Linked DNA regions of Macaca mulatta. The protein of the gene in region 2 binds, or shares a complex with, the protein of the main gene of each other region. Links are inferred from orthologs where the notes say so. Each region holds a gene or a part of one and is shown on either strand. Other genes may lie near its edges. The genes, in order: MYOM1, OBSL1 and CCDC8.

Region 1 (3,649 bases), on a different chromosome or scaffold from region 2:
TGAAGAGTGGACGTGGCCTGTTTGGAAACCACGGACTGCTTGGATGCCATGGATTGCCTGGATGCTGTGGACTGCTTGGATGTCATGGACTGCTTAGATGCCGTGGACTGCTTAGATGCCGTGGACTGCTTAGATGCCGTGGACTGTTTAGATGTTGTGATTCCTTCCTCACTAGCAAGAAGATTCCTCTGGGCTATATAAGCAGCAGCTTCTTTAATTCTTTCTTCTTCCGTATCTGTAATTCCACTGACATGCTTTTGACTAAAACACAATAATGGCAAAATGTAGATGTTGTGGATGGCAGTGATAAGATTGAGTAATTTTTACTAAGTTCAAAGTACCACACCTCAGACACTGTATCCTGCACCAAAAGAAAACCCGATATAGAAAAAGCAGGTAAATCAGAAGCTGACGCTTCATGTACGGAAGTGTTCCTCACCTTAACAAATAACAATAATAATAATAATGATAACAGTAATTATAACACCTATGATGGCCCTGGTGCTTTTCACATACATGATCTTGTTTCATCCCCATATAAACCCTATGAGATAAACTTTTTTTTTTTTTTAAGATGGAGTCTCGCTCTTGTTGCCCAGGCTGGAGTGCAATGGTTCAATCTCAGCTCACTGCAACCTCGGCCTCCTGGGTTCAAGCAATTCTCCTGCCTTAGCCTCCCAAGTAGCTGGGATTACAGGCTTCTGCTACCATGCCCAGCTAATATTTTGTAATTTTAGTAGAGACAGGGTTTCACCATGTTGGCCAGGCTAGTCTCGAACTCCTGACCTCAGGTGATCCACCAGCCTTGGCCTCCCAAAGTGCTGGGATTACATTCGTGAGCCACCATGCCCGGCCAAGATAAATTATTATTTCTGGTTTAGATATATGGTAACGAGGTTCAGAGAAGTTAGATAACTTGCCCAAGGTCGTCTCACGGATTGTCTTAGTGTGTTTAAACATGATTTTGTTTACAATAAAAGATTATGGTTCCTTTCCAGAAAAGCCATATTGTCAAATGAGATCTAGTTTGTTTGCCTGTGACCCTGATACATGAGTAGGAGCTTGATCTGGATTCTGTCACTTTGCTGATGTAATGCACTGCCTGGAGTTGTTGCAGTATGAATAAGTTCTGAATGTACATGAGGTTCCTTATGTCTACTGGGTTTCTTTCTAAGATAATATATGTTGTGTGTGCATATACTATGTGTGCACCTATAGTATATACTAAGAAATTATCAAACTTGTGATGGAAGTGGTGACATTTATAAATGTGACTCGTTATTATTCATAATTGATGACAATAGTAAGGGAGTGGTAACATCTCAAGTTCAATGCCTACTGTGGCAGTTTATGATAGAATCTGTGCTGTGATTTATTCATGTTGTTTAAAAATATTTGAATTATTTTAACATATTTCAATGCCTTTTGTTGTAAAGCCCCTCAAATGTTTTAGTGAAAGAGTGTATTGATTATATCGAGGATTCTCTTGAAATTGAGTCTCCTTAGACCTCTTACGTCAGAATTATACATTCCAAGAATGATTGCTTCAGTATGTAAGCAAATGCTGCCATTGTGTTAGCAAGTTCCTAGCATCTAAATCTATGTCGCTTGCTGAGGAGTAAGATTCCACATTTGCCAAGTTTGGGGTTTCTCATGGACTATTCCTAAAACATCTGGCAGACGAGATGAGTCCATGTTGTTTCTGACTAAATGTAGTGAGTAAATTTTAAGTTTTTTCCTCTCTCTCTGTAAATATTAATAAGAGAATCCCTACTATGGATGTTAGTAATATGTCCATTATTATTTGAGGGGGAGGAGGAAGATGAAAGATTTTTAGCTTAGTGTCCTCACATAATGACTTCTCAATCTTTTTTGAACAAGATAGGAAGTGAATGAATTACTAACTGAATACAAAACAAACCATGGAGAATTTGCTTGGAATTCTCTATAGAAGTCAACATACAATAGGGAGATGTGAAATGAGCTTTGTGATCTGTTTCAATTCATGTAATGATGGATCATATTCAATGCTAGTCTTGCCCCAGGCTCCAAGTAAGAGAACTTTATGTTTAAGTTCTCATTACTACTGATACTGGATAGGTTGGCACAGCTCTAGAGGGCCAAACGAAGTGATAGTCTCCTTGCCTTTTCCGTTTACAAAGAAGCCAAACTTCGGAAAAAAAACCTTGTAATTATTTCACACGAGAACTCAACTACACTTAAAAAGTATGTTAGACCCAGGGCAGTAGGGATATTCTCCTTTAAGTAAAAGTCAGGATTTATCAGTGATAACCCTTCTATAATCTGGACACAAAAGTAAAACTGTGAGGCTAACATGTTGACAAAAGTATACTACTACGAAGTAAAACTAAATTTAAAATCTCCCAGTACTCTGCGAATCTGTGACAATCTCAATTCAAAATCTCTTGCCGACAGAAAGTTTACTCAATTTATTAGAATATAAGTGGAATTTTCAGGTGCCATGCAGAGGAAATGGTGTTTTCCAGAAGCACAGTGTGAGTGCAGAGGGCATGTCCACTGCATTGACCAGGCCTACGTGGGACTTTCAATTCTTTCCCTCCCAGGCATGCAGCTTTCAGCAAGTCACTCTGCCATGATTTCCTTGTCCAAAACGTTGATATATTAATATCTCTGCAGGGTTGTATGGAGAATTTAGCAAGATGGTTTATATAAAGCACCTTGCATGAGTCCCAGCAAATAATAATAGACACTCAACAAATGTTCATATTTTTCCATCCTCTTCTCAGATTGTTAATACTGCCAAAACCGTTGTGAAATGTTATTTTTGACACAGTAATAGAGTATAGGTGATGACACCGTATAAGATATAATGGAGAACTAGAAATAAAGCCTAGAAAATCAATTTTTATTCACATCTTTTTTTTTTTTTTTTTTTTTTGAGAGGAGTCTCGCTCTGTTTCCCAGGCTGGAGCGCAGTGGCGCGATCTCTTGGCTCACTGCAACCTCCACCTTCCAGGTTCAAGCGATTCTCCTGCCTCAGCCTCCCGAGTAGCTGGGATTACAGGTGCCTGCCACCACACCCAGGTAATTTCTGTATTTTCAGTAGAGAAAGGGTTTCACTGTGTTAGCCAGGATGTTCTCAATCTCCTGACCTCGTGATCCGCCCACCTTGGCCTCCCAAAGTGCTGGGATTATAGGCGAGAGCCACCACGCCCGGCCTCACATCTTCTTTTATCAGTTTATTTGGTAAATGATCACTTCCTGAGACTGGCCCGGAAGAGACAAATAGTTTGGTGTGGACAGAGCAGGGAGAAGATGTTAGGAGTAAGAAGCTTCATTTCATGCCCTGCCAGGTGGAGTCATGTCACGTAGGCTAGTGTTAAGCTGATGTGGTTTTAAAATGATTTTTTGAAACAGAGTGGGAAAAATACCGGAGACAAAAGACTTTACCCCTCTAGCCTACCATCACTTATAAGGAATGCAAGTTACATTAAGCTACTGTGAAGAGGACAAATGGCTGGACATGCATACTTAGCAGCGAAAGCGTGTTTGTCTGGAAAGTTCACTTTAGAAAATCAGACAGAGCAAAGATATCAGCTAAAAAGCCAAAAATAGAATGTTATTTATCCCTTTACCTTCCTAATTGGGTTCAGAGCAATTATGACAT
Region 2 (2,524 bases):
GTTGCCCGTGTGTCTGTGTGTATGTGTGCAGGGGTGGGCGGGCTTGGAGGGGACGCTGGGACCCTTGCCTTAGATTTCTGACTGGTAGGGTTTCTCCAGGCTCAACCCCACCTCCTCACCCCCCGCCGGGGTCCCATGGGCCACCTCCTGCATGTCTCCGCGGAGGGGCTACCTTCCTTCCCATCGCCCTGCCTCCCAGCCAGACTCATCTAAGGGTTCTTGTCCTTGTCTATGGGGCAAACTGTAGCACCCCTCACCGTGGTCCCCTGGCCTCTGCAAAGCCACCAGCCTGAGGGCAGTGGCAGGAGATGGGGGTGGGGGGTGCTGCTCTGGGCTGGGTTGGGAAGGGAGTTGGGGAGGGGCTGAAATGCACGGTGCATGTCTGGTGTCTGTCATGCCAACCTGGACACCTCATGCTTCTGTCTCCCCCACCCCACTCTGTTTTACATCTTTTATAAATGTGCCAAACTGCGTGGCCTCTGCCAGGAATGGTGGTCTTTGGTGGCTGGCACTTTCATGGGCCAGGTACAAGCACTACAGCCCTCGGTCCCCAGTGTCGCTCACTGCACAGAGGCTCCAGGCAAGGTCTGCCCTCCCACATCACTCAGAGAGGCAAGGAAATGAGCTGTAGCACTTTTATTGTCTCCTGACACCTCTGGTTTCCCTGTCTCTCTACCCCTGCCCAGGGTAAGGGCGCACGCCTTCCAAGTTGTCCAAGGGCACCCGCCTGGCCTGGTTCGGTCCTCCTAGTTACCTGCAGAGGAATGACTCCACATGTGGCTGGGGAGAGAGTGGGTACCACCTTTCTCTCCCCTGGCAGAGCCTGGACACCAGTACAGGAAGAGCTGGGGCCCCAGGCTATGCCCTACCCTTTCTCCGTCTTGGTCAGGGCTGTCTTGGCAGCAGGAAGGTGGGGGTCAGCTAGGGATGGGGCACAGGGCAGCACCTGAAGGGAATGCTGGGATTCGGGATAGAAGGTGGGATGTCTCCTACGTGGAAAAGGAAAGAAAGAGGCTTCTGCCGAGGCTGACATGGAACTTGCTGAGATGGGTAGAGGCAAGCTGGGCAGAGGGCAGGAGAGAGGAGGGACAGGCTGGAGGCAGGCAGTGTTGGGGAAGTGGGGAGGAAAGGAACTGGTAGAAACAGGGCTGTTCAAGAGAGACAAACATGGTCCAGTGGCAGGAGAGAGGAGAAGCCTGGCAGGAAGGGGCGTAGAAAGGTGGGAACAGCTGACCAGGAGCAGCTGATCTAAGCCAAGCGGTTCCAGGGCTTTCCAGCCCTAGGTGTGCTCTACCCTTCCCCTCCCCCATCCCCACCTCCGACGTATCCCAGGACCCGTTGCCACCCCAAGTCTTGGAAAGCCAAGTGTGGCTTAACCCATCAGCTCCCAGGCGCCCTCGCTCTCCTGCCTCTGCCCAGTTGACTTTACTCACCCTCTACCAGCAGCCGTGTGTGGGCGCTGTCCTGGCCGGCCTGGCAGCAGTAGGTGCCCTGGTCCTCAGGTCGAACGTCATGGATGACCAGGCTGTGGGTGGGGCCGTGGCTGCGCATCTCATACTTATCTCCCGGGCACAGCTCGGCCCCCTCCCGCAACCAGCACACGTGGCTCCCCGAGCGGGACACAGTCACCTCCAGCACCGCCCGGCGGCCCATCAGAACGGTCTTCTCGCGAGGGGGGTGGCGGCACATCTGGAGAGGCAATGCTGGGGATAGGGGGCAGGAGCTTAAGTTAATAGGGACACGCATGGCCCCCAGGAGAAGAGATGCATCTTCCCTCCCTGCAGCCTCCACTCCTGGCCTTAGCCCTCTATGCCACCAGTCCGTTCCCTTGCACCTCAGACCCAAAGTCTCCTCTTCCCGGGGAAACGCGCTGCCCTCTGTGACCCGACCCAGGACAGCCTCTCGGGGGGAGGGGAAGAGAGAGAGGCAGCGTTCTTGGGGCCAGCCCCAAGTCCGTCAGTCCCATGGCAGGAGACAGAGGATGTACTCTCTGTGGCTCCCGCCCCAGGTGCTTACCCTCCACTTCCAGTAGAGCCAAGGACTGGGCGGGCCCCGCCTGGAAGCGTACTTCACCGGCGTCTTCGGCCCGCAGCTCGCTAAGCACCAGAATGTGTTTCTTCCCTGGGGGTGAGGGGGTCGCTAGCGAGGCCGGAGCCGCCTCTGAGGAGCGCTAGGGACGAAGGTGGGGGCGCAGCAGGCCCCTGGGTCGGTTCGGACACCGTTAGTGTACGCTAGGGTGGGCGGAACCGGGATACCGAGCGGGAAGACTAGCGGTCCGAGACTCGGGGCTGGGGGCGGGGGAAAGACTGGGGACGAGGCTCACAGGGCCGCGGGGCGGGGCCCGTCCGAGTCAGGGGCGGGGCTTGTCCCGGTGGGGCGGGATCTGTCCGAGTCTGGGCGGGGCAGCGAGGGGCCCGAGAGGGTAACCAGGAGGCCAGACCTTCCTGTCTGATGCGGACGCGGGCTCCGGGTCTCAGCGGGCGGCCTCCGAGCTCCCAGCGCCCTGTGGTCTCGACCTCCGATA
Region 3 (4,390 bases), on a different chromosome or scaffold from region 2:
AGGCGTGCACCACCAGGCCAGGCTAATTTTTGTATTTTTAGTAGAGACAGGGTTTCACCATGTTGGCCAGGATGGTCTTGATCTCTTGACCTTGTATCCACCCGCCTCGGCCTCCCTAAGTGCTGGGATTACAGGTGTGAGCCACCACGTCCGGCCAACCACAGCCCCTCTTTTAGGCCTTTTCTTATTGCAATGAGTTTTCAATGTGTCCAATGGCCGAATTGCCCAGATGTTTGGAAGCTTGATGCAAACAGAATTCAGAGCCACACAGGCACCGCTAGCAAATCCACATCTCTGATGCTGAGGGCCCCAGAATCTGTGTTTTGAACGCATTTTTCAGATGCTTTTACTGTACCTTACAACCAAGATCGGGAGAGGTATGCAAACCAAGGGCCCTGTCCCCTCCAAAGCAGCAGAGTCCAGGGGCATGAGGATGGCAAGCGAAGTGACAACATAAACACAGGTGTCTCCATCTTCAAGGATGGGAGTAGAACGGACAGGAAGGGCCGGGTCACCCCCAGAGCATTCGTCAGTTGCCAAGTCCAAAGCTAAGAAACCAGTTCATAAATGTTTTTTTATTTGCATGTTGGCTCAAGTCCTCTTTTTAAGTCCAAGGAGGCAGTCCACGTTAAGTGTGCAGGCAAAAAAGGGACAGGAAAAGCAGGCAATTTCTCCCCTGCCCTCCCGCTCTCCTTTTATCAAGCTGAGCACCTTGAGTTGCATTTGAGGAAATTAAAACTATAGGTGACAGAACCCCCTTGTATCGAATTCTTTCTTTACATTTTTTGGGTTGCTACAAGGAATCACTATATATATGTATATATGTATATATATATATATATTTTATCAGGTGGTACGTGTGGTGGCTCACACCTGTCATCCCAGCACTTTGGGAGGCCGAGGCAGGAGGATCACTTGAGGCCAGAAGTTTGAGGCTGCAGTGATCATGCCACTGCACTCCAGCCTGGGCAACAGAGTGAGACCCTGTCTCTAAAAAATTTTTTAAAAATCAACGCATGAGACAAAACTTTAACAAGAGAATAAAGAGGGTTGTAAGGTGGAGATGTGGGCAGCACTCCAACTCCACTTTCAAGTTCAGAGGCAGAAAGAGCAACTTTCTCTCCCACGCTTGTAGGGAGGGCCCGTGGGCTGTCTCTAGCCCTCACCTCACAGCTGGTCTTCTCGCTCTCCCTGTTCAGCTTCTGCTCTGGCCTCGGCCCTCAGCACCCTGAGGCTCCTGGCCTCGCCTGCCCTGGGGACTCTCTTGGGCAGGGTTGGCAACCGGGGAGTGTGCCAGAAGGCTCTCCGGGGCTTGCGAAACCACGAAAAGCGTCCAGGGGTCTGGAACCTCACTGTCTTGACCTGTTTCCGGGCCCTGGCTCCTGAAGCTGTTCCTGTGGCCCCTTGGGTAGCTGAGGCTTCAGCTTCCTGGATACCTGGGGCCCCTGCCGTCTGATTATGTGCAGCCTCTGCCCTTTGGCCAGCCCGGGCCTGTGCCCTCTGATTACCTGCACCCTGGACAGCTGGGGCCCTTTCCCTCTGGTCATGTATGGCCTCTTCCCTTCGAGGATCTGTAGCCTCTGACCCCTGGTCAGCTAGAGCCTCTTCCCTCAGGTTATCTGCACCCTGTGGCCTATGGTCAGCTGGGGCCTCTGCCCTCTGATTATCTGCAGCCTCTTCCCCATGGTTATCTGCAGCCTCTGCCCCCTGGTCAGCTGGGGCCCCTGCCCTCTGATTACCTGCAGCCTCTTCCCTCTGGTCAGCTATGGCCTCTTCCCTCTGATTATCTGCAGCCTCTTCCCTATGGTTATCTGCATCCTCTGCCCCCTGGTCAGCTGGGGCCCCTGCCCTCTGATTACCTGCAGCCTCTTCCTCCTGGTCAGCTATGGCCTCTTCCCTCTGATTATCTGCAGCCTCTTCCCCCTGATCAGCCTCGATGTCTGCCCCCCGACCTGTGGGCGCTGTCTGCTCCTTCCTGCGGCGCCTAAACGAGGCCCAGTTGATCTTGGGCCTCCATCGCCTAGGGGAGGCCTGCGGGGCACAGACATCTCCCACATTTTCCACAGGATCCCCGGGATCCCCCGGGCTGGTGCCGGAGGATACCCCTGCGCTCTCCACTGGGATGGAGGCCAGCCGGGCCTCGCCCACCCCGGGGCCCGCCCTCGGCGCCCAACCCTTCACCCTCCGCTTCAGCTTCCCCCAGGACACCTGGCTGACATACTCCCGCCACCTGTCCGCCTTGGACAGCTGAGGCCCCAGGTTGTCCTCAAACATGGGCACTGGCAGGTTGACGCGGCGGCGGGCAGGCGGCGCGGGGGGCTGCTTCTCCTGTCGCCGGAGAAATGCCTCCACCAGTTCCTCATCATCCTCGCTCTCCACGTCGCTTCCCAGGAACTTGCTGCCCAGGTAGCTGACGGGCATTTTGCGCACCTTCTTGCCCCGCCGCGGGCCCTGGCGGCTCTTGTCTCTGGAGGTCTCGAAGTCGCTGAACTCGCTGTCGCTGGCGTTGCTGCTGTCATACGTGCCCACGACCAGCCGGGGCGTAGGAGTCACCATCTGCTGCACTCTCCTCCTCACTCGGGGCTCCTTGGGCTTTTTGGGGGGCTGGGGCGGGTGCGGGGTGCTCTTCTCGATGATGCGGGCCACGTCCTCCAGGGTGCGGCCCTGTTCTTCCAGGAACTGGGTCAGCCGCTCCCGAAATTCTGCTTCCTTGGTGGCAGGCTTAGAGATGACTCTCCAGACGCCCCCGGCCAGCCTGACCTCCCGGGGGATGAGCAAATAGTCGACGTCCTCCCCGATCTGCAGCATCCCCACCGTGGAGTCCTCCTCCTTGCGGAACACCTTGCCGATCTTCTTAAATGTTCCCACGGGTTTTAGGGCTTCCACGAGGACGTCCAAATCCACATCTTTGCAGACATCGGGGACGCTCCAAAGAATGAGGCAGTCGGGGGACGGGAGGAAGCCCCAGGGGAACCAGCCCCCCACGTGGCTTTTCTCGAGAGTCTTTAAGATCTCCAGGGTGATATCTGGGGTGAGGGAGCAAAGAGCCCCAACAAACTACTGTAGCCCTTAGTCTTGAGGGAGGGACTGGATGGGGGGAGTCCCAGCAACGCTGACCGCAGAGTCTCACCTCCCCAGCCAGGGACGAGTCAACGCCTCCAATCTCTTCTCCTGCAACAAGTCCAGTCTTGACCAAGTCCGGCTCCTCCACCAAGGACTTGGGAGAATCAATTTCCAGGATGCCTACGTGAGCCGGAGGCGAGGTCAGTCCCAAGGTTCAAGGCCCACTCCAAGCTGGAAACGTGGTGTCCCAGCTCCAAGTTGGGGCGCGCGGGCTGCCAGCGATTCTTCCTGCCCCAGGCCCCTGGGACGCGGTTGGAACTTGGGAGAGGACTTCGCAGACAAAGACGGTCCAGTCGAGGCTATTCAATATGGCGGAGGCGCTGAGAGGCCTCAGCCCGGCCCCCCAGTAGGGTCCCCCGCCCCCAGGCAGGCCACCACCCAGCTCCAGGCTGACCTTGACGCGCCGCAGCCTGCCAGCCCGCGCGCTTAGGGCTCTGCACGGTGGAGCGCACCAGCAGGAAGTTCCTCCTTGCCCTCCGCCAGAATGAGGCCCACCTTCCCCCGTCTCATCTTACACTCCCAGACTCTGGAAGACTGACAGGGGGGCTGTCCACTCCCTTCGGGGCAGCCTCCTTCCCCTCCCCCACAGGGGTGTGGCCGCGCCTGGGGCCTAGCTGGGCCCATTGCTTCCCAGCGAAGCGGCGGTGGCCCACGTCAGCACCTTTGCTGAAAGGCAGCGGTTCCCAAACCTGCCATCCGAAATGTACAAGTTTCCAGCCAAGTCCTGGAGGTGGGTGTGCCAGTGGATTCTACCTTTTGAGAGCCACTGGCACCATAGATTAGCATTTTAAATTCACGCGACTATCCGTACCCGTACACCCAGACGCGTGGGTAGAGAAATGGGTACCGGGATCTTATTGCAACAGTCCCCCTGTGACGCTTGGCAGGAGGTCAGGGCTCTACATATTTTTGAGTGGATGAATAAACCTGAATGTTCATAGCCAGGCGCGGTGGCTCATGCCTGTAATCCCAGCACTTTGGGAGGCCTAGGCGGGTGGAACACTTGGAGGCCAGGAGTTCGAGACCAGCCTGGCCAACATGGTGAAACCCTCGTCTCTACAAAAAATACAAAAATTAGCCGGGTGTGGTGGTGTGCGTGTGTAGTCCCAGCTACACGGGAGGCTGAGGCAGGAGAATGGCATGAACCCGGGAGGTGGAGGTTGCAGAGATGGCGCCACTGCACTCCAGCCTGGGCAACAGAGGGAGACTCTGTCTCAAAAAAACAAAAACAAAACAAACAAACAAACAAAAAAAGCCAAAAAACAAA

Evidence for each region.
Region 1: the proteins of OBSL1 (region 2) and MYOM1 are in contact, whole or in part, in a crystal structure (PDB 5FM5), measured with the Homo sapiens proteins. The link is inferred for Macaca mulatta from reciprocal best matches to the Homo sapiens genes OBSL1 and MYOM1. Residues at the interface, in NP_056126.1 of Homo sapiens: Pro243, Lys253, Phe255, Val257, Asn258, Gly260, Lys261, His262, Ala263, Lys264, Phe265, Arg266, Cys267, Tyr268, Val269, Met270, Gly271, Lys272, Pro273, Pro275, Trp279, Lys305, Tyr308, Tyr317, Cys319, Ala321, Arg322, Asn323, Ser324, Ala325; in NP_003794.3 of Homo sapiens: Arg616, Pro617, Ser618, Ala619, Pro620, Trp621, Thr622, Gly623, Gln624, Ile625, Ile626, Val627, Thr628, Glu629, Glu630, Glu631, Pro632.
Region 3: OBSL1 (region 2) and CCDC8 share a complex: the UniProt entries of both Homo sapiens proteins name them as parts of the 3M complex. The link is inferred for Macaca mulatta from reciprocal best matches to the Homo sapiens genes OBSL1 and CCDC8.

The regions. Positions count from the first base shown.
Region 1 is NC_133423.1:74,414,237-74,417,885, forward strand, and holds part of MYOM1 (myomesin-1), read right to left. Parts: intron 262-3,649; coding exon 1-261. UniProt on the Homo sapiens protein: Major component of the vertebrate myofibrillar M band. Binds myosin, titin, and light meromyosin. This binding is dose dependent.
Region 2 is NC_133417.1:124,791,893-124,794,416, forward strand, and holds the end of OBSL1 (obscurin-like protein 1), read right to left. Parts: coding exon 2,441-2,524; intron 2,122-2,440; coding exon 2,017-2,121; intron 1,704-2,016; coding exon 1,434-1,703; intron 755-1,433; coding exon 747-754; 3' UTR 622-746; downstream 1-621. UniProt on the Homo sapiens protein: Core component of the 3M complex, a complex required to regulate microtubule dynamics and genome integrity. It is unclear how the 3M complex regulates microtubules, it could act by controlling the level of a microtubule stabilizer.
Region 3 is NC_133424.1:58,899,716-58,904,105, forward strand, and holds the start of CCDC8 (coiled-coil domain-containing protein 8), read right to left. Parts: upstream 2,945-4,390; 5' UTR 2,809-2,944; coding exon 1,168-2,808; 3' UTR 984-1,167; exon of another isoform or gene 557-983; intron 1-556. UniProt on the Homo sapiens protein: Core component of the 3M complex, a complex required to regulate microtubule dynamics and genome integrity. It is unclear how the 3M complex regulates microtubules, it could act by controlling the level of a microtubule stabilizer.